Linked DNA regions of Alligator mississippiensis. The protein of the gene in region 3 interacts with the protein of the main gene of each other region in a pairwise test. Links are inferred from orthologs where the notes say so. Each region holds a gene or a part of one and is shown on either strand. Other genes may lie near its edges.

Region 1 (7,256 bases), on a different chromosome or scaffold from region 3:
GCAGAAGCAGGAAATACCTTTACCGAAAGGTTCTCTGCAGTCGTCTTTCTGGAGGTCATGAGGCAGATCCTTCCTATTTTCATCTTCACAGGAGTCCAGAGGATTTCCTGGTCTGGCTTCCTGTTTCATTTGGGGACAAAATAAATAAAAAAATAATAATTTCTATTGTGTTTTTAACATATGTGGTTGTTTTATGTTGAACAGTGTTTCAGGAACCCTTCTTTGTCTAATTTATTTTGCAAATTATTTTAAACCATTCTGTTAAGATTTGATTAACTTTGTAGATGTTATTGTGCAGTAAATTATGGAATATCAGATGCTTCTTCATGTCTTTACTGTGTTTTTTAATAAGTGTCAAATGTGTGGAAAGTATCTGAAAGTTACACTGGACTCCAGAGTTTATAGTAAGCAGTGACACTCGGGGATTTCGCACACAATTGACAGTCTGTCCAGGCTTTCACGTGATGCCGTGGAAATGGAAGTACTTCAAGGTTTTATGGAACCTTAGTTATACTGAGGTCAAAATCTAAAAAATTAAGCTTTAAAAATCTATTTTTGTATTTCATGTGTGCAGTTGTTTAATTATGTTGATATGGTTGCATCCTGTGGAAAAAAATGTTTAAATTGCTAGCCTAAAAGTCCCCAAAAATAGGTAGAGGTGGTTAGGCTTACATGGCTGCTTTGATTTCTGTTGAATGTCACTCTGCTTTGAGAAACTCAGTATTATCTGGGGGGGAAATGCTTTTCTCTGGGGAAGACCTCTTAAAATGAACAACTTTTTAAAGTTTTAAAAACCTTGCTCTTCCCTTGCGAAAATGTTTTTATTTATATTGGACAGACTTGATTTTTATAATTACAGTAGGTGATACGTTGTTTGCTAAAGAACACTTCACTGAACAAAAAAAGCTTTGCAGCTTTGTGAGTAAGTAAATAAATTAAATGTAATATTTTCACCAAGAGTTTCTAGAGAAAATTCTGCATTCATGATCCATTGCATGAACTGAAAGTTAGGGTTAGTCTAAAAAATAAGCATGGAAGAATACTTAAGAGACCGTACAGATACTTTGCTTTCATGTGAACAGAAAAAGGAGTTTCCTTGGCTTGTTCCAGTATGAACTGAAAGGTAACACAGACATATATTTAAAAACAGCCTTTATAATTTTAACCAGTTTCTTTCTTAACAAAGAATATATCAATTTAACTGCAGATTGTGTATACAGTAAGGTGATAATTTTATACTGTGCTAATGTAATGGATTATGATGAAAATAGTTCATTTTAGAAACTTACTTGGAAAAAATATTCATGCTTAAACGTTGCAATGTTACTACTTCCTGTGGGTGCTTCGGAAGGTGAGCAAGTGAGGCTCTGAGAATCTTTATTGGGTCACTCCATGGGGCATATGATTATGGTAAGTGAGATTTGGATGTGATCTTTAACATTTAGCTGATGGTATGCACTCCATGACATACCTTTCAATGGCCTATGTGAAATCTGTTTATCTAGTTCCTAGCTTCCATGGCTCTGCACTTCAAAAAGCCCTTACCATCCTCACAACTGGATAGCAAATTGATGCTGACAGGGGAAAAAATAAATGAATAGGGAAATTAAAATAACATCTCCGGAGAGGTGGCATACCCACAAATAGCGTTGGGTAGTCTGGGAAAGCTACTGGCATTGCATGTTATGTGTCTGTTTGAATAAATAGACCAGTAGCTTTTACTCCAGGCCCCTATCCTTCCTGCAGCTTTTCCCACCACATTCCTAATATGCTTCAGTCATATCCTGGATGGGCCATTTCAGATGGGGAGATAGTAACTTAGTTTGCAAACTTCTTTATTTAGCCTCTCTGCTGAGATTTAACCCTTTCTAGTGAGAGCTGACACCTGTATTGAGGTTTTGTCCTAATTGAAAATGAAGCGGGACTGCACAGAACTCATTTTATATGGTCTGTGTAACAGCTATCAGATGGTTGGCACTTACTCATGGTTGACATGGGCTGTATTTGAAGCAGTGAGAAGTGAAAGTGTCTCTTGTTCCAGACTCCCCCGGCTTATTCAGTCCTCTTGATGCAATCTTTAATTCAGAAATGGTAAATATAAAGGCTGTTCTTTGGTGAAGTTATTTACTGACAGTGCTTAAGCTACAGTGTTTAAAATAATATGCATCTAATAGCTGAAACTTTCTAGAATTAATTCTTCCAGGAAGTGGAAAAAGTGTCCTTGGCATGCAATCTAGTTTGATTTTTTTCTTTTCTTTTTTTCTTTCTTTTCCTTTTCCTTTCCTTTTCTTTTCAGGAGGAGATTTAATAACTTAATGCATAGCTCAGTTTTACCAAACTTACCAATAAACTCAGTTTTATTTGTAGTCTTGTGGTATTTATCTTTTTAAAGCTGTTGCTTTTGGAGTCAAATGATCATGTGAGAATCTCAGATTTCATTATTTTTAATAGCAAGTTTCTACTTCTCAAAGTTACTGAGAAATGCTTGGAAAATGTGATCCATGTGTCTGAGAGGCTCAAACCAGAACACACATAAAAATTACTTAATGTTTATTATTGATTTGTAAGCCCATTTCATGGTTTTTGAGGCCTGACTTTGTATGTGTTTGGCAAGACTGACAATTGTTGTAGAATATTTTAAAGGATATTTTGGGGAGACTTTCAAAGGCATAAAGAGCAGTTATATGCTCAAGTACTATTAGTGCCTTGATAAATCTTATTCATTGCTTATTTTTGCATAGTTCTTTCTGTACAGAATAAATAAGATTGTATTTAATGACATTATGAATATCTGACAGTTATGATGTTGTTTAGCCATCTTGAATCAATTGTCTTTATACTGTTGTAAATATTAAAGATTTTATTTAGCTAATTTCTAAAATGTGTGGATCATGTTTTATAACAATACTAAAGTTGGGATGGCTTCCCTCCAAGTTACAGATAGAAATTATTTTGGTAATGTATGTGCTTGCTTTTGATAAATAACCAAAGATATTGAGCTTCTCTGCCTTAGTTTCAAAACTCCTTGCCTCTTTTGAGTGTTTTTTTCATATGTACTCAATAAAAGCTTTTAGTTAACCAAAATAAATATTTTTGTAATGATAAGCATTTATGTATGTAGCCTTTTTAGAGGTAGCTCAGAAATGTTGGGCTCTACTGCCTGATGTAAATCAATTCTCTATTTTTCTTGTATCTGCTTTCACTGTTTATTTAACAGTTTTGAGCATCGACCATCTTGTAGTATCAGGATGTCTTGAGGTATAAGAAATCCAAACAGTGAATTTTTATAAACATGAATGTATTTAAATTGTTATTTTAAATATTCATGTGGGAACCTCTGTGCTTTCAGGACCTGATCCAATCGCAATTACTGACTCACGGTTGCATTGCAGCCAGACAGGTTCTGATATATAACGTCAGTGGCAGATTTTTGTCCTACAATTTAATGTTCTCCTGTGCGGTTGTTAATGTTTTTAACAAGAAAGTCCTTAAAGCTAAGAGTCCGCTCCCTACAAAAAATATATATATATATATATATGCATATTTGAATGGGACTTAAAAATACGTAAGACTAAATACGGTCTACTTAATGTACATCTCCTTAACAGGTTCGGCTTTCTTGCTTTGGTTTTAGTTTGTCATAGCAACACTCTTAAAAGAAAACGAAATGGAAGTCTTTGCCGGTGGAAGCCCTGGCCTCTATTGAAATTCTGGTCTCGACTCGAGCGTGTCCTTTCTGCCATTTCAGTTTTGCATCGTTACGTCCTTGCTGCATCCTTCCTCTTCTAACTCCTGCAATTGCTTCTGGGTCACGGCAGAAATGCAAGCTTTTCCTAAGGCTGAGGGTGCTTTCAATGTTAATTTTGTTCTTTATATCTCTGCTGCAGCACCTTTCAAAATGACTAGCACAAATGCAATGAATGGAAAAAATAAAAAATACCAACCGAATTTGAGTTTTTACAGCAGCTTTCAGGGACACAAACGAAACCAGCCCAGCCTAGCCCAGACAACCACAACCCCTGCTGGGGCAGCTCTGGCAGCCAGGCCTTACACAGGCTCGGCCTGCGCCCAGGCCGCCCCTCCCGGGCCGCTCGTCTCTTTCCGGAATCGCTCGTCTTTCTCCGGCTTCCCTCGGCAGTGCACCGCCTCGGGTGGGCGGGGCCCGCGCGCGCCGATCCCCTCCGAGGCCGCTCGGCTCCAGCCGTGCCCAGGGCGCGCTCTGCGGCGCTGACGTCACCCCAGACCGCCCTATAAAAGGGACCGCGGCGGCCGGCGTGAGCAGTCAGTGTGTGAGGGCCGCGGGGAGTGGAGAGGTGAGGCGCGGCGGTGAACCCGGCACAGACCCGGTGAGCTGGGGCGGGGATGCGGGTCGGAGCCGAGCTCCCTTCCCCCTCCTGACGCAGCCGTTAGAGGCAGGTGCAGCGGCCCTGCGCCCGCCGCCCTCGAGCGGGGAGGGGGTCGCGGCGGGCCCGCCCCTGCGGCAGGATCCCGCTCGGCGCCCGAGCCTAGGCGAGGCCCGGCCATGGTCAGCAAAGCCCGAGAGTGTGGAGGCGGCGGGGCTGCAGACCCCCGGCCCTGGACTGTAACCGCACCCACACAGCTCGGTCCTTCCCCCTCACCCCACGGGGAGAGGCTGTGGGAAAAACAGCTCTGGTCTTCCAGCCCCGCGTTGTAGGGAGGCTGCGAGCTCCTGGGGACTGTCCCTGGCTCATCTGGTTTGTTTGTTTTTTCCTCTTCATCCTGCAGTCCCAGAGCATCGCCCCCGCGGTGCGGTGCTAAAGCGCGTCCGTCTGCCCGCGGCTGCCCCGCGCAGGGCGGGGGAGGACATGAGCCTTGGCCTGTCCTTCCTGCAGCCGCTCCTGCCAGGATTCAAAGAATAAACCCTTTCTTTGATATTCCAGGTGTCCCCGCGTGTTTTGCTGCTGCTAATCGGATGTTGTTGTTGTTGTTGTTGTTGTTGTTTTCTAATTGGAATATTTTTTTCCATAGAATAATGTTTTCCAGTTCATTCAAAATAGACCTGATGCAGAGCAATTTGCCAGGTAGATTTACATTGGAAGACAGTTGTGCTGAGGTGGAGGATGGACGCAAAGGGGGAGGAGGGGGGAACCCTGGAGAATGATGCTATATCTTTTTCTGGAAAAAAATCTCTTACATCAAGACTGTTCCTTATGGCTTTGATTCCTTCTGGTTCTGCCAGAAGATTTTACTGATTCCTCTTGTGAGAGGCCTTGATCAAGGCTTTGGATGGCTTCAGAATATGTTTCTTTAACAGAAAAATTGCTGGGTAGCCTTGTCATTTAGCTGCAGTTAACAAATGGGTCTTGCCATGAAAAATTGCATTGAGTGAAGCGTATGTAAGATGTGTGCAGAAAAGAAGGAACAAAAGGATTGAAAAATAGGAAGGTTTCTGCAGCATCGTGAAAAAGTCTCATAAATTTGGCAACAGCAGTGCTGGTGTATAGAAAACGATTGAACCCAGATTAGGTAGATGATGCTTGCTTAATTTACGTCTCTGCTGCAGTAGCAGAAGTCATACATTTGGAAGGGTAGGCTTAAGACTCTATTGATTTAAAAAAAATGTAGATGGTGCATTGCTTTTGAGCTCCTTAGTGTGGTGCTCAGAAACAAGATCAAAGCAGCAATAAAAAACAGGCTGAAAGAGGAGTCTTAAACCTTGTTTGCCATCTTTCCCTTTGTACAAGGAAGGTAAAAGGAGTCTCATGCTTTTCAGACAGGTTGGCACTTCTGGGTATGATGATTCATATTGGCGAGGTTTTGTGTTTTATAACCAGCCCTCATCACTTCATGAAAATAAAACTGTATAGAATTTTATAGCTAGTATTGCCTGTAATAGACTAATAAAACAGACTCATTTTGGGGATGATAAAATATTTGACTTCCCATCAGCTTGGGGCAAGTAATTTTTAAGTGTTATGCCTTCCCCCACCTATAGTAGAACATAGGCATTTGTTTTTTCCATTTGCCCAGGAGCAGGCATCAGAATAATGGGGTGGAGCAGGCTGCAGATGCTCCTGGAGGAGACTGCAAAGTGCAGGTCAGCACTGTGCTTCCATGGCTGACTGTGGATCAAATAAAGTGGCAAACTGCCTTTTTACTGCTGCAGTTGATACACATGATGCTGTGGAAATGCCATGATGAATAAGCAGTAGCTCCAGCAAGCACAAAGGCACATAAAACTGCAGTTGTCCATGTACTACAACGCAGATTGCAGTGTACCCAAGGGGAAATGCAGGCTAGAGCCTGCAGGGAACTGAACAAGTAATAGCACAGTGTATTGGCCAAATCTGCCAGCTATTAAATGAGTCCCCCCAATTTTTCCTGTTTATAGATGTTATTTGTGTGCATGTTACAAGAGAGATTAATCTTCAGTGTTTAAGAAGGCATTTAATGCTTGTGCATTACATGTTTTTAAAATCTTAAATTTAAGCCGTGCTAGCATTTGAATCTTTATTTAACAGGTTGCCACAACTAGTTGTTTTCTTTACTTGTTATTTTGTCCTTTTAATTTTATTTTTAGGGGGTTTTTAGTTGAAAATGTGTATGCATCTTAAGCCAGCTGTCAATAGCATTCATTTCATTGTATTACTGGTTTTAACTTTTATGCAGAAGCCTGCCTCACAGTTGTTCCAAATTATTTTATGGCTGGGGGAGAAGAGGTGTGATTCTGTGATACAATTTTTGACAATGTACATGCTTTACTTGCGTTCTAAACATTTATAGTTAGTGGAATGTTATCTTGGTTTCAGACTCTCTACATTCCACCAACATGTTGTCATCATTTCGTAAAGTCATAGTCCAGGTATTTTTACAATATGCATGTAGTAGAATTGCCATTTTTTTGATTTGCCTGCCTCATTGCAGTGATGACATCCTTGTACAAAAAGCCACTTGAGAGTTTGTGTGTATATAGAGCATAAAAATAGAGCAGGTACTTTCTTTGCCCTTTGGAGTGCTGATTCTGGAATGCTTTTAATCTAATATTACTGCTTTCTTCCTTCTGCTGTGAAGCATGATGCTTACACATTGTGAATTCCTTATGATGGTTTTGTATGATCTTCTGCTTCTGGTGATGTGGATTTTAATTTTCTAAAAGATAATTTGCCTTAAAAAGCTATTGGCCAAGATAATATCTTTGATTACAGCATCTGAAAATCTACTGTAACATACCACATATTGAAAATACTGTAAATCAAAAAGAGTTGACTTTTGTTCCTGCCCCATTCTTTGAACAG
Region 2 (7,964 bases), about 16 Mb from region 3:
GAGCCGAACGGCAGGGTGACTCAGGAGAAAGCACAGCCGGACCGAATGTTCGGAAATCCGGCTCAGGAAGCTAAGACATGCAAGGGAAGTGATCACCTCCGGTGACACCAAAGGCCTCCAAAAGAGCATCTCCGCTCGGCTTCATTTCCGAAGAGCAGCTGAGTTAAAATCCACTCATGAAGGGGTCAGCCTAGGACTCTCTATATTCATTAAAGGGACTAAAGCCCCTCTCTTTAGTATGGGCTTAACTGCAGGCACGGGCCTTTTATAGCTAACGAGGCTTCTTCAAAGGCTTAATGTTATGCATGTACTTAATTAAAGAGCTCAGCTGGACTGAGCCCTAACAACGCCAAGAAGAGGAGGAGTTAAATTGGATAGACTCATAGCCAAACCGTGTGATGTCACTGCTCGCCTGTGATGCGATATTTGTTTGGGAGGCAGCTCCCCAGGGCCCGCATCCGCCTCCATCCCTCGACTGCAAGGCTGTACGGAGATGCGCGGCTCAGCGTAACGCAATACATAAGTACGCCCCTCCATGGGAAACGCGCTTGTTCCTGGCCCCCGCGAGAAAGCCAGGGAGGCCCCGACACCCAGGGGTGACTGGTGTCACTGGGTGGATGAGGACATGCACCAGAGTGTCGTAGTGGGGAGCCTGTTCATCGGGCTGTGGGAGGGAGACATGCACACACACACCCATGCAGAGGACACATACACGTGGAGGACACATGTATACGGTGGACACACGTGCATGCACACACAGATGACACACACACGAAGGGCAAACACACACAAAAGACAAACACATGCACACCCCCCACCCCCCCACCCATGCGGAGGACACATACACGTGGAGGACACATAAACAAATACATGGAGGACACACATGCGTGCAGACACAGAGGACATGCACACATGGAGGACAAACACAGACATGGAAGACAAACACATGCACACACACACGGAGGACACACACACACAGAGGGGATACACACACAACACACACACATACACATGGAGGACACACACACATACACAACCACCTGGAGGACACACATATGCATGCACCCATGGAGGGGACACACACACACACACACACACACACACACACACACACACAGAGGACAAACACATGCACATGGAGGACACGCACACGCGCACGCATGCAAGGAGGACACACACACACACAAGGAGGACATACACACACACTCACACAGGGGCCACACATGGACATGCATGCACACAGAGTTCACACTCACACACACACACACGCACGCACTCCCTCCCCCCACTGCATGCTCTCAGGAAGACCGCGCTCCCAGAGCCACTGGGGCATCGCCCCTGCAGGAGCAGCCCCGAGGGCCGTCAGAAGCACCCCCTTGCCCTTCTCGCTCCCCCATGCCACCCCGTGCACTGCCCACACATGTGCTCCACCACGGGGCTCTTTGCCTCCACACCTCCGCACATGACACGGCGGGACGGCAGCGTTCCTGGAAAGCGTTTCCTGAGGGGCCGGGGCAGCTCTCCCACACCGCTGCGCGGGGGCTCCCGGGGGATCCGCACCGTGTCTCTCTGCATCCCTGTCATTTCTGCCCTAGTTACCTCAGGCAGGGTCAGCCACACGCCACACAGACCCGGATTACCGGAGAGGGGACGCATGAAGCAGAGGGAGATGCTGCCCTGTGGCGGATCTGTGTGCAACCAAGCGGGCAGCCCTGGCTCTGCCTGCCCCCTCTCATGCCTCCATGCTCACCCAGGTCCCCAGGGCAGGCTCTCCCCCCATTCGTGGGGGCCCTTGGCAGGCCCATCCCTCCCTGCTGCTTTCCCGGCCCAGCCCTGGGGACGCACGCCGAGCAGGGAGGAAAGACGGACGGGGAACGCCGGTGCACCCCTTCCCCAGCACAGGCACGTGCCAACCCCTGGCAGAGGGCATGTGGGGACGTGTCCCCACGGAGCCGTCCCCCATTGCAAGGCAGGGAGAGCATCAGATGCGCAGCCAGAGCGAGGGCACGGGACCGCATCCAGTGGCAGACCCTTAGGGCGGACCCCGAAGTGCAGGATTTGGCCCTCAGGGGCCTGCCACACACCGAGCCCCCCCGCGGCCGGGCAGGGCAGGGCAGGGCAGGGCTCTCACCTTGTGCAGCTTCCACATGGCGCCCAGGGCCTTGACCTCGTGGCTGGAGTGCTTGCCCTCCTCCAGGCACTGGTAGCACACAGGCATCTTGCACTGCACGCAGTACATGCTGTGGTTCTCCAGCTCGTGATCCGTGCAGGTGGAGATCTTGCGGGGGCTCAGCCTCCTACTCACCCGGCCCTGGGCCGGCGGCACCAGGCGGTGTTTAGCGAGGGGGCCCCGGGGCGGGTGGCACCTCAGCCTGCAGGGATCGCAGTAGAAGACGTCGCACTGCTCGCACATCACCGTGGCCTCCTTGGGCGCCTTCTCGCACAGCTGGCAGCGCAGCGCGGCCGCCTTGCTCTGCTGGTAGCGGTCGATGACGCCCTCCAGCACCCGGTTCTTGGGGAAGCCACGCAGCCCCCGCTCGTCCAGGATGAGGCTGCGGTGGCACTGCGGGCAGGTGATGCAGGCGTTGCGGGGCACGGGGGCCAGCGTGGCGGCCGGGGGCAGGTGGGGCGGCGGGGGCACGGCCGGCGGGAAGACCCGCACGCCGTTGGGCGACTTCTGGCACGGCGTGGTGGGCGCGCTGGCGAAGCCGCCGTAGGAGCCGTAGCCGCTGTCCGCCTCGCTGTACAGGCTCATCTTGTCCAGGTCCAGGTAGTCGTAGTCGGAGACCCCGGAGCCCGACGCGCGGCGGCTCTGCGGGGACTCGGCCTCGGGGGTCTGCACCAGGATGTTGCGGGCACAGGCCTGGCACAGGTTGTGCGAGCAGGGCAGGATGATGGGCTCGCGGTAGAAGGAGCCGCACACCGGGCACTTCAGCTCCTCCTCCATCTCCTCCATCGGGGCACGGCTCAGCACCGCGGGCAGCGACCGGCTCCGGCTCCCGCTCCGGCTCCGGCTCCGGCACTGCGGCCAGCGCCGCTCCCAGCGCAGCGCACCGCCGCGCCGCCCCGCCCCGCCCCGCGCCCCGCCCCCCCGCTCCCATTGGCCGCCGCCCCCCGCTCTGCGCAGCGGGCGGGGCCAGGGCCAGGGGCGTGCAGCGCCGAGCACTGCGCGTCCTCCTCCTCGCCCGCCCTGGCACGGGTGTGCCCAGGTTACGTGGAAATGCCCTGTTTTGATTGCAAAGGCCTTATTTGTATTTACAGTCACCTGCCTTTGGATGGCGTGACGTCACCTTTATTGGCCTGACGTCACCGTTATTTGCATGGCGTCATCTTGATTGAAACGCCTTTATTCTTATTGGTGTGGCATCATCTTTATTGGCATGGCGTCATCTTTATCTGCATGACGTCATCTTGATTGAAATGCCTTTATTCTCATTGGCGTGACGTCATCTTTATTGGCGTGGCATCATCTTAATTGGCATGACGTCATCTAGATTGCCGTGACGTCATCTTGATTGAAACGCCTTTATTCTCATTGGCGTGAGGTCGTCTTTATTGGCATGGCGTCATCTTGTTTGGCATGGCGTCATCTTGATGGAAATGCCTTTATTCTCATTGGCATGACATCATCTTTATTGGTGTGACATCATCTTTATCTGCATGGCGTCATCTTGATTGAAATGCCTTTATTCTTATTGGCATGACGTCATCTTGATTGAAACGCCTTTATTCTAATTGGTGTGGCGTCATCTTGATTGGCGTGGCGTCATCTTGACTGAAACGCCTTTGTCCTCATTGGCGTGGCGTCATTTTTATTGGTGTGCCGTCATCTTTGTCTGCATGGCGTCATCTTGATTGAAACGCCTTTAGTCTCATTGGCGTGGTGTCGTCTTTATCGGCGTGGCGTCATCTTGTTGGGCGGGCCACTCTTTTATTTGCATGCCATCATTTTCATTCTAATGCCCTTCTTTTTACTGGCATCGTCTTTCTTGGTGTGGCGTCATCCTTATTTGCATGGCATCATTTTTATTTAATTGCCCTTATTTTTATTGCCATGGCATCATTTTCATTGGTGTGGCATCATAGTTTCATAGTTGGTAGAGTCGGAAGGGACCTGAACAGATCACATCCGACCCCCTGCCCATCTTTATTTAAACCGCCTTACTTTTATTGGTGTGGTGTCATCTATATTGGTGTGGCATCATCCTTATTTGCATGGCATCATTTTTACTTAACTTCCCTTATTTTTATTGCTGTGGCATAATTTTTATTGGCATGGCATCCTCTTTATTTAAATGGCCTTATTTTTATTGGTGTGGCATCGTTTTTATTGGTGTAACATTATCTTTATTTGCATGGCATCATCTTTATTAAACTGCTTTTATTTTAGTGGTGTGGCGTCATCTTTATTTAAACAACCTTATTTGTATTGGCATGGCATCATTCTTATTTGCATGGCGTCATTTTTATCTGCATGACATCATCTTTATTTGTATGGCCTCATCGTTATTTAAATGTGCTTATTTTTCTTGGCATGGCATCATTTTTATTTGCATGGCATCATCTTTATTTGCATGGCATCATTATTTAACTGCCCTTATTTTTACTGGCATGGCATCATCTTTATTTGCATGCCATTATTTATCTCCATGCCATTATGTTATTTGCATGCTGTTATTTTTATTTGCATGCCCCTATTTTATTTACATGTCATGATTTGTATTTACGTCCCCTTATTTTTCTTTGCATGTCATTATTTTTCTTTGCATGCCTTCATTTTTATTGGCAGGGAGTTATATGTATTATTGATGATATGCAGTTATGAAGGGCCATCATGCACAGATTGGTTGTGGAGGTGCCACCACCCCTTCCCCCGGGCCAAATGCCTGCCCTTGCCCTCCAGCCTGACCCACGGCAGGGGTGCCCCGTGCCAGCCCTGGAGCAGTCACACTCCACTGGACCAGGGGGTTATTCACAGAAGCAGAAAGCAGCAGGGCTGGAAGGGACCTTCTGAGATCAACTAGCTCAACCCTCTGCCTGAAGGAAGCCTCTGCCCCGGTGTGGCACAGGAGACCGGGCAAGATGGACTGTGGTCTATTGTCTATGGTCAACAGCCGGTCTTATGGTCTGGCCCAGTAAACTGCAGTTCTGATGTTCTCATATGTTTCACAGTAAGATGGGTCCCTTCGGTAGCACCTGGGCTCTCCTGCAAACACGTAAGCACGGGCTTAACTTTAAGCTGCATGCACAGGGTCCATTGAAGTAGAATGCAGTCACGTCAATGGGTGCAACTAAAAGTCATCACGTGCATAAGGGCTTCCAGGACCTGGGCTTAAATGTGCTTTTGCATGTGTAAGTTAGGGTGGGTAGCGCCTAGGCTGGGTTTTTTGCAGCAAATAAGGCAAGTGCAGAACTGCAGAGGGCACGGTGCCCGGGCTACACCATGCAGATGTCTCAGAGAGGTTGGAGGAGAAGAAAGCACGCGCTGCATCTAGACCAGTGGTTTGCAACCTATGGCCCGTGGACCCCTGGGGTCCTGCAGACTATGTCTAAGGGCTCCAGGAAAGATGACTGTGATCAATCAGCAGTATGTGAATCCCCACACTTACAGTTCAAAGGGGTCCACATCTCCATTTGAGATTTTGTAGGGGTCTGCAAATGAATAAAGATTGAAAACCCCTCGTCTGGAACCAATGCAACTGGGTGTGCAGTGAAGGGAAGTTTTCTGTTAGCAAGGCACAGCCATGATTTTTCTGTGCATAAAACAGGCCTGTTAGAAAGGCGGGGGGGATCTGCAATACGACTCTACTGAGCCGGGCAGAGATTTCAAGTTCTCATCCGACGTCGCTCAGCACAGGGCAGCTCCTGCCCACTGCGGTGTGGGTGCATGAATAGCACTGAAACAGGATCAGGGCCAGGCAGCTTGGCACTGGCCAGCCCCGTTCATTTAGTCCTGCATGCTGCACCTGTGCTGGGTGTTGGACTTAAGTGGGATAAAGCCCTGCAGCTGGAAGAGGGTAGACAGGCTGAGTGTTTGGAGGGGTTTTCCACCTCTCTCAGAGGCATGAGTGTTGGCTGCAGCCCAGGCTGGGGGTTGTGACTGGGCAGTGCCAATTCTCCTTCCAGGATGTCAACTTGGAGGTCCCTGGCTTGAACACCTTGCCCTTCTGTTCAGGGTCAGATTGATGCCATATTTGGGGTCAGGAAGGACTTTTGCCCCCTGATTAGATTATATGGGCTGTGGGGTTTTGCCTTCCTCTTAGCATGTATTAGCAACTTTTACAGCAAGGGGACATTGGCCACCACGGTCCTCTGCTTTACCTGGGGCAGGTTCGGGTGCTGTGCTTTGCGGCTGTGTGACAGGGTCACCTATGTAGTTTTAGTAATAGGCTGGACAAGGATTTCCATGGGCTGCTTTGCATTGGGACGACCCTGTCTCTGAACTAGGTGATGGCTGGCACTGCTGGAGGTGCCTTTGAGGCCTGCCTGCCCATGGTAGGGTCCCTAGAGCTCCTCCCTGGAGCTCAGGGGAGCGGATGAGCCAAGGCTCCCAGTCACCCTACAGTGGAGGGGCGAAAGGTAAAGCAAGTGAAAGAGGACCTGTGGCTGCCTTGGCATAGTTAAGGGTGGGAGGAAGGGGTTGGGGTTGGAAGCTGTAGTGACCACTGGGTGTTTGGTGGCACAGAAGGGGACACTGAGGCTGGCTCGCTACATCTCCCCGACCTGAGGGGGTGCAGACTGACTGCAGGCAGCACTGTGAGCCAGGCCTCATTTCTCTCCTTGCGCACATACAGGAGGGAGGAGGTGGGACCCATTGGCTCCAAGGAGCGTGGGAAAGCAGGGGGTGGCCATGGCGGGCATCTTAGCACAGACAGGCTCCGACTGCTGCGTGGTTCACGGAAGTGATGCTGCTGCCCATCACGCCCGCATCTCCCACTGGCTTCCTCTGCTCTCCCCCCGTAGTTTCTTGCTGCATACAGACGGGTTTGCACTGGGACAGGCTTTCCTTGCTGGAGCTCTTACACCCATCCAGCCTCCCCAGCTTTGGTCTTTGCACTTAGCCCTTCAGGTAAGGCCGCACTCCCCTGGCATCATTTATTTTTACCCTCCCCACCCACAGATTCGGACTCTTTTTAAGGCATGTCAAGAGCTGCAGACTGTTCACAGGGACGATCTGCAAGGGTAGAGGTGTGGCGTGCTCCCTGCTCGGGGCATGCAGCATGGATCTATTGGGAAGTACCCAGAGGGAGCGAGCTCTGCCCTTCAGACGCCCCCTTTTTGATCTGGGGATAAGGGCTGGGGTGCTACAGTCACATACAGAGGCAGTGCTGGGCTCCCCAGAGGCTGGGCAACTTCTCTCCTTTACTCCTCATTTCCAATACTGGTGCTGAGGCCACCTGAATATGGCTCGGGGAGGCGGGGGGTACTTTTCTTTAGCTCCTGTGTTGGAAGTATCATGTATGGACTAAAAAGAGCCCAGCCTGAATCGTCTCCAGGAGCACGTGCGCAGTCTATCACTACATGCACGAATGCCTCCTTATTGGCGACGTGGGCTCCAAAACAAGACACGACAGAAGCTTACGGCTGCCGAGGAAAGCTCTCTCCGGGCTGTTTCGGATGACATGGTAGCTGCGTTCTTTATATCTGATGAAGCCGTGTGGGTTTTTTCCCTAAGATATTATTGCACAACACACCTCCAGACACACAGGGCACGAGCATCCACTATACATCGCTTTGTGCTGGATTGATTGCCTATGTGAAGAAAGCCATCAAGGCTGGAGTAGATGCTAATTGTTTGCTTTGGATCATGCAGAACAGAAGAGGAACTTCATTTAGGAAGGGTCTTGCAGTCTTTGCCCAGCATGACTTGAAACGCATGCTGAGAGAGGCACTATCACGTCTCCTTCAGAAACGGGAGATGTGCTGAGAACTAGGCACTCACAAAAAAGGGTTTCCCTCTTTCG
Region 3 (6,909 bases):
TATAAAACATACCAGGGGCTAATGATCCTCTGGACACAGTAAAAAGAAACAAACAATGAAGACAACAAACCAGATCCTCAAAAGGTGCAAAGTGGCAAGGTTACTACTGACATAGGGCTCCTTGCGTCACTGCGACTCTCAGGGAAGAAGTAACAGTGCTCTGGAGTTAATGCCTTCTTCCCTGTCAAGAACATGACCTGTGAGGGCCACGTCTGGAATTAGTAAATTCTCACTGAGGTTTCATCCCTTTGTTTCTCTGGGGCTTAAGTCTTGGCTCATTACCCCATCATCACAAAAGCTATATTTCATCCCAAAGCACTTCACAAATAAGTATTTTATAAACAGCATGCCAGGGTCACTTCATCCAGCCCCGGAGTGAAACGCTTGAAAAATCCAACAGTTGTGCAATAGCGCACAATGCTCCACAACCATTTAGGCCAGTGAAGAACACTGCATCAACTTGAAACTGTAGGGGGAACTTAAATAAACAGAATGCAATCACTCCACTTGGAATTAAGCCAGAGTGCTAGCCTGCACCCCTTTTTCAGAGTCTGATGGGTATTTAGGGCCCTCTAATGCCATTTAAGCCTTCGTTCAGAGAAGAGCGCCATCTACTGATTCATCAACTCTACATCCCTACATCAGTGGTTCTCAACTGGGGATAATAAGATCCTTTTCGGGGTGTTACAGTAATATTAGCACTATTAGGTATACAGACACCTACCTACACATAATTCCCAAGATAAACTGAGAGACTTCACATAGGAATCCATAATGTCAAAAAAGTTGGACTTGCTGTGGTCTTTCTGAATTCTTTGCAACAGAATAATTGCTCTGTTACTTTTATGTAGTCAAGAAATGATTAAAATCAGTTTTTGCAACTGGATGCTGCTAAATTCAGAAACGTTATGAAGGAGTACCTTGTGTTTTAAAAGGTTGAGAACCACTCCCCTGGGTGCTCCAGGTTCTCTATCCAAATACTGAACTAGGCCAAACATTTTTATCTTGTAAGATATCCTATTGTTTCATTACAATGAAATACATTTACCAGGCATAAGGGAGAATGCTGAAAAAAGACCAACTTTAAGATATAACCTAAAATGGAACACCACTTAAATGCCTAGTAAAATAAAATATAAGTCTTAAGGCTACTGACCAGACGCCACAGCCCGTATGGGTGGACGATCTTAAAATATCTTCACAGTTTAGACATGCAATTTTCAATGTTATTTTCAAAGTAAGCCTAAGAGGACAAGGCTAGAAAATTCACAAGTCTTATTCAGTGTGCAGACCAGCATTTAAATACCATTGCTACACTAAGTAAAGGTCTTTGTCTGAGATCTCTTCATGTGAATGGGTCTACCACAAGAAAAACCAAACAAAACAAAACAAAAAAACAGGTAGAGCTTTTAAAGTAGACTCTTCAAAAGCGTATCTTTTCTAGCAACAATCTGATCACAGCATTGCTGTATTAATAATATGCTTAAATCCCATAGATGAAATACAGATAGCTATGAATTGATACAGGGATATATAATGACTAGTCAGTTTGGTGCCTATTTACATCTTAATTTACTGTCAGCAATTGGCTGCATCAAAATTTGTGATCATATCTTGACAATCCTATGACAACTGCAGTTACATAGTACTACATGGTGTTCCAGTAAAATCCTTTTAAAAAAAGATTTTACTGAAACAGCATCCTGCTGCATTTCACAAACAGCAGAACTTCTATTCACTGTAAGCCTTCATTTCTTCACAGTTTTACACCTGGATATGGGACAATTTCTTAATTCCCTTCCCCCATCATTCATTTCCATTTGAAATTGATGAGACAAAAAACCCCAAACATTTTTCAGTATCAAAACATTAAAAACCTAGTCATTTTGCCAAAGCACAGATTAGCAGACAACCTTGTCTACATTTGGTATGAAATTTTGAAAGTTCAGAGAAAAAAAATTGGGTGGAGAATGCCAATTGTGTATGCAAAACTGATCAGCTCATCTAGTTATATACTACTTAAGTAATATCATACCCGCCAGTGTTTTCAGGGGTATTTATAAAATTAATATAAAAGAATTATTGCTATAGGAAGACAACATAGCAGAAGATGACCCTGATGTTGTCATAACACTTCACCATTTTTATCTGGCCAGTTTTATGCTATGACTGTTAAGAAACCATATAAACCTAAAAAAGTGAAGACCCATGAAAGGTCAAAAAAAAATTAATAGACCCTAATACAGTTTCATTACAGATTAAATCATCAATTATGTTAGTACCTCTATTTGCTTTCTTTCATATAGCTTCAAAAGCCTGTCATGATTTTAACAGACCTTGATGCATGCATATTTGAGGTATGGGGGGGAAGGTACATTACTGAACAGCACTAATCAACAAGGTCCTAATTTTGTACTTTAACAATCACAGTACTTCAAATGTTTGCCAACAAAACCCCACCCAAACCCCAAATTAGTCAGATTATATTTTTAATGCAATTCATAGGATATTCAGCAGCTACAAGATTATGAAAATGGCATGTATACTCTGCAGCAGCACAAAATCTAATCCCATATATGATCCAGACATCAGTATTTTCTCCCTTAACTATCATGATGTCTATTCCTTATAGAACAAGCATCTGTCAGGTTTGAAGGAACCAAAAATAGCAGAGACCTTTTCAATAGAACAGTTTGCTTTATATTTATAACTCTATACTGTACTTGCAGTGTCTGGTTATATGACTATAAAATATGTGCAAGATATAATAAATTATCCAGCTTTGCACTGCATCATGCAGTTAGCTATCGTTTACCTGCATTTCATCCTAGATATTCCTTACAACACATAGGGTAGATATTTTAAAATTCAAGAAACATTTGCGTCTTCAAGAACTAACTGTAGAGCCGGCTGACATTACACAGCAAAAACCTTGTGAGAACAAAAACCAAGCACACTGATGTATAAAACAGAGAGCCTACCTGAATTCTTCAAATGCATACATGGCCTAGTAACTAAACAAATTCGCTGAAATTTAAAATATTCTTCTTAATGTGCAGGAATACCATTTAGTTTGTCAATCTGCAGCAAGATGCATAATTAAGAGACAGTATATTGCAAATATTCTGAAGGGAAAGGGTATGCAGATACTGGCCTGCAGCCTACAGCTCAGCCAGCTGCTGACAAGCAGCAGCTAACAGGGAAAGGCGATAGAGTACCATGTGATCATTCCAGCAAGTCTGATTAATGCAGTATACTCCAAGAATACAGCCCGGTATCTTTATTATTCTAGCCAAATAAGTCAAATACTTTACATGACAGACTCTGTAGCTAAATGATTGTTCACATTTTACATCAGAATCACACAGAGGACAAAGAGAAAGCCAACTAACATATGGTATTAATGTTTCAATCTGATAGATTAATTAGGCCCATTTACACTGATTTTCTTAGCTTGCAGTGATATTTATTATCTTATGGTGTTTTTTATGCATATTGAATTGTCAGTGTCACAACAGAAGATTAGCACCATAAGCCCCCCCTTCTATAAATGCCAGAACATATTAAGTAGTTTTTCTACTGCAGACTATTCCTGACCATTTAACTCCTTCACCCCTGAATTCTCTGCTATCACATTCAATTTGTAACAACATGTGTGGAATGTGCCAAGTCAAATTCAGGCTTTAATGCCAATAAATCACAGGAGTGCAACTGAAGAAAGACGGATAAAAGCCAAATAGTCACATTTTAAAATAAGATAAAAATAGAAATGGGAAGAGTTGACAATTTTGTGATTTGTGGCATGTGATTCAAGATTCTTCAGCTGCCCAGTCACAGACCAAAACACCCCGGGAAGTTCTTAGATGAAGAGAACACATGTTCATCTGAATGGAAAGTTTCCCAAAAACAGTAACAGAACTTAAAGCCTTTGAAGTCACATGATGAAAACATGGAACAAGGGAGTGTGAAAGGATGCCACCAAAGTACAAATGCTTTATGGCAAGAAACTGGAGCTAAAAGATATTCCAAGCACAGGCTATGGAGAACAAAATTACATCTACTATATGTAGAGAAAGGGGGAAAAAAAACCCAGGAAGATGCAGGACGCACTCCTAGAACGCTTCGAAAGACGAATCATATGCTCTTCAGTAACAACCAGAGAGAACCTATGTCAATAAGCATGACTGCTAAAAAAAGTGGAAAATTAGAAGACAAAGAGCTGTCATTTCCCTGCCTGCTGAGCCACACACCACCTTTGAGGGGAGCTTAAGACTGCTAGAAACACAGGATCAAAGCCATTATCTGTTTAGGCAGAACCTGCACCTGTAAAAGAGGACACTTCATTGGAGGATTCCAAGAAGCTAACCCTAAACCCAAGGAGCCTTCAAAGAAGAAGACGCCTCCAAGAGAGCCAACCGCCACTAGAATCTTAACAAAAACTTGGCACTGAATTTTTCTGGAGCAAGGAGGGTTTTTCTTTAGGGATGAAAGTACGAAAGGAACAGTAAAAACACTGAATTTGATTGTGTAAAAGAAAATAAGTTGTGACAACAGGAATAAAAACTCCTGTCATAATAACATTACATGCCCTGGTTGGCCAGTTCGTAATGTTAGGTTTTGATATGTCGGCTATAAAAAGTTGTATTACCATTACAATATTGTAGTAATTAGAATGCACAAGGTCAAATTTTCCCATTGGTTATGCCCTTTTGATATCTGATGTAAACAAAGGGTAAATTTGGCCACAGAAGTATTTTATCCTCTGAAATGCATATTAAAATGCAGAGGTGAAATGAAAAGTGAATACTTTTGATCCACTCAGGTGGTGTAAGAAGGGAAGAGACTGAAGCTTTCAAACAGAAGAGAAAGTCACCTCCTTCAAAATACAGTCTGGTGAAAGCACGTAAAATACCTAGACACAGAAGTGGAATCCACCTGGCACCACTGAAAACAATAGAAGTTTCATCCTTAGCTACAATGAAACAAGGATTTCAGCTTCGAAGTCAAGGTTAAATCTGGAGAGAGCCCACAGAAATAAAGAAAGAAAATCTGAAGGAGGGTTGCCTACCTAATTTTTGCCCCTAATCCTGCTCTGAAGACAGTGGCTAAACTGCTGTTGATTTCAGAGGAAGTGAGCTTGGCCAGTGTGTGTAATGTTCAGTTTTGATATGCCTGCCATAAAAATGAATTGCATTTAAAAAAATATATCCCCCTTGGATTTGAGCTCGCTAAATCACTGTCATGACTTTCGATGCTGCAACCACTATGAACAAATATGCAAAGAAACAAGCTGCTGTTCAAACCATGACATGGTCATCAATGGCCACTCTGTCCAGGCTGCAGGATGGTGTAAAGGGCAAACACCCTCCAGAAAGCTTTTGCAACAGTGGACCTTTACTGAAAATTCTGACATTTAACAAGTTACCTTAGTTTCAAGCCAATGTTTTCCCAGCTACTTGTAGAGTTCTGTACCGTCCATTTAGGAGCCTTGATCTACAGTGGAAGTAACTGTAATTTCTTGAAACAAAATAATGAAGAGTCCCATGATGAGGAAAAATCTGACCATATACATGTCACATTGTCTACATCAATGAAGATTAGCGTATGAATGCCCAATCGTCTGTATAACTTTAAAAGGTATAATGAACACAGGAGCAGCAAAAATGTCAATGCCTTATGGATCAATAAGAATGGAATGATCCTGCCAGAAGCTTCTTAAACAGTTGCTAAACACAATTATTATTTTTTACTGACAACCTATACAATTCTTTAACTGATGTATTTTATGCAACGTGAATGTAACCTTTCTGCCAGGCTCCGGATGGCAGTAACAAGGGCCACATTCGACTTTAGGGGTTTAACAACAACTCTTAAATCTGGCCTGAGCCCACACCAAGAAACCTGAAAAGCAAATGTAACTGGATGTTCTAAAGTGAACAAACTTTCCCACTCACAAGTAATGTTCTACTAAAACAGGGTTTATTACATGTGTAACAAGGGATAAACATACAACCATAGAGAAAACCTTAACCATTAAACATCAAGTGAAACCCAAACAGTTAATAGACTAAGTCAGCAGCAAAACTACCCAGTCCATTGGAACAAGAGACTCACCCAAGGAGACACAGACATTGCCACCCACCCTGTCCTGCCTGGTGCCTCAGACTGCACAGACCTGCCCACTTTGAGGCAAACAGCTGTTACAAGCAGGCAATGGCCTATAGGATGCAGTGGCAGCACATGACGGGAAGGGGGGCTCCTGTGGCCCACAAATCCTGACAGAGAGCTCCCTGCAGGATGCTCACCCACTCAGACACAAAGTGGTGTTGCTGTGGTCTCATTGTCCATCAACACTGGCATCCAGCCTCTTTCTGATAACAGATCTTTAATCAAGCTCATAGTTTCTTAGTTTTTTTATGGACAGCTCCATGCCTTTTCTTTCTCTCTTTTTTTTTTCTTTTTCCAGACAAGTGTTTTTATCGCTTTTTTTTTTTTAAACAAAATGTCTGTAAACTTACAAATAGCTGGCAACCCTGATCTCAATCAAACTGCAACTTCTGATATCCATGAGTAAGAGTACCGAATAGTGGCTTTATGGTATCTAAGAGAGAACAAAAGGAGCCGTGTGCATCAGAAACCACAAAAGGCAAAGAATAATTCAGTGATAACTCGTTTGTTTGAGCTGGGTAAGCAGGGAAGAGTACAACTGAAAATAAATACCTACCTCATACCCAAACCCGTAATTGTGGAATAGAACAATAAATCCAAATCAGACTTAGTTGGACATTTGGGCAATTATAATTATTGGTAATGACAAACAAGGAATCCCACTCCTCATGTTTGAATCTAATCCAGGTTGCTCAAGCAGTGATAGGTACCATAATCTATTACAATTTGACAGCAATTCAG

Evidence for each region.
Region 1: the proteins of EVL (region 3) and SPTAN1 interact in binary tests that used the Homo sapiens proteins (3 or more experiments, as listed by UniProt). The link is inferred for Alligator mississippiensis from reciprocal best matches to the Homo sapiens genes EVL and SPTAN1.
Region 2: the proteins of EVL (region 3) and TRIM9 interact in binary tests that used the Homo sapiens proteins (3 or more experiments, as listed by UniProt). The two-hybrid records come from large-scale screens. The link is inferred for Alligator mississippiensis from reciprocal best matches to the Homo sapiens genes EVL and TRIM9.

Annotation. Positions count from the first base shown.
Region 1 is NC_081835.1:57,793,417-57,800,672, forward strand, and holds the start of SPTAN1 (spectrin alpha chain, non-erythrocytic 1), read left to right. Parts: upstream 1-4,250; 5' UTR 4,251-4,346; intron 4,347-7,256. Other genes in the region: mRNA export factor GLE1, read left to right, coding at 1-61. UniProt on the Homo sapiens protein: Fodrin, which seems to be involved in secretion, interacts with calmodulin in a calcium-dependent manner and is thus candidate for the calcium-dependent movement of the cytoskeleton at the membrane.
Region 2 is NC_081825.1:298,808,769-298,816,732, forward strand, and holds the start of TRIM9 (E3 ubiquitin-protein ligase TRIM9), read right to left. Parts: upstream 3,007-7,964; 5' UTR 2,957-3,006; coding exon 2,132-2,956; intron 1-2,131. UniProt on the Homo sapiens protein: E3 ubiquitin-protein ligase which ubiquitinates itself in cooperation with an E2 enzyme UBE2D2/UBC4 and serves as a targeting signal for proteasomal degradation.
Region 3 is NC_081825.1:282,649,263-282,656,171, reverse strand, and holds the start of EVL (ena/VASP-like protein), read right to left. Parts: upstream 3,020-6,909; 5' UTR 3,005-3,019; coding exon 2,982-3,004; intron 1-2,981. UniProt on the Homo sapiens protein: Ena/VASP proteins are actin-associated proteins involved in a range of processes dependent on cytoskeleton remodeling and cell polarity such as axon guidance and lamellipodial and filopodial dynamics in migrating cells.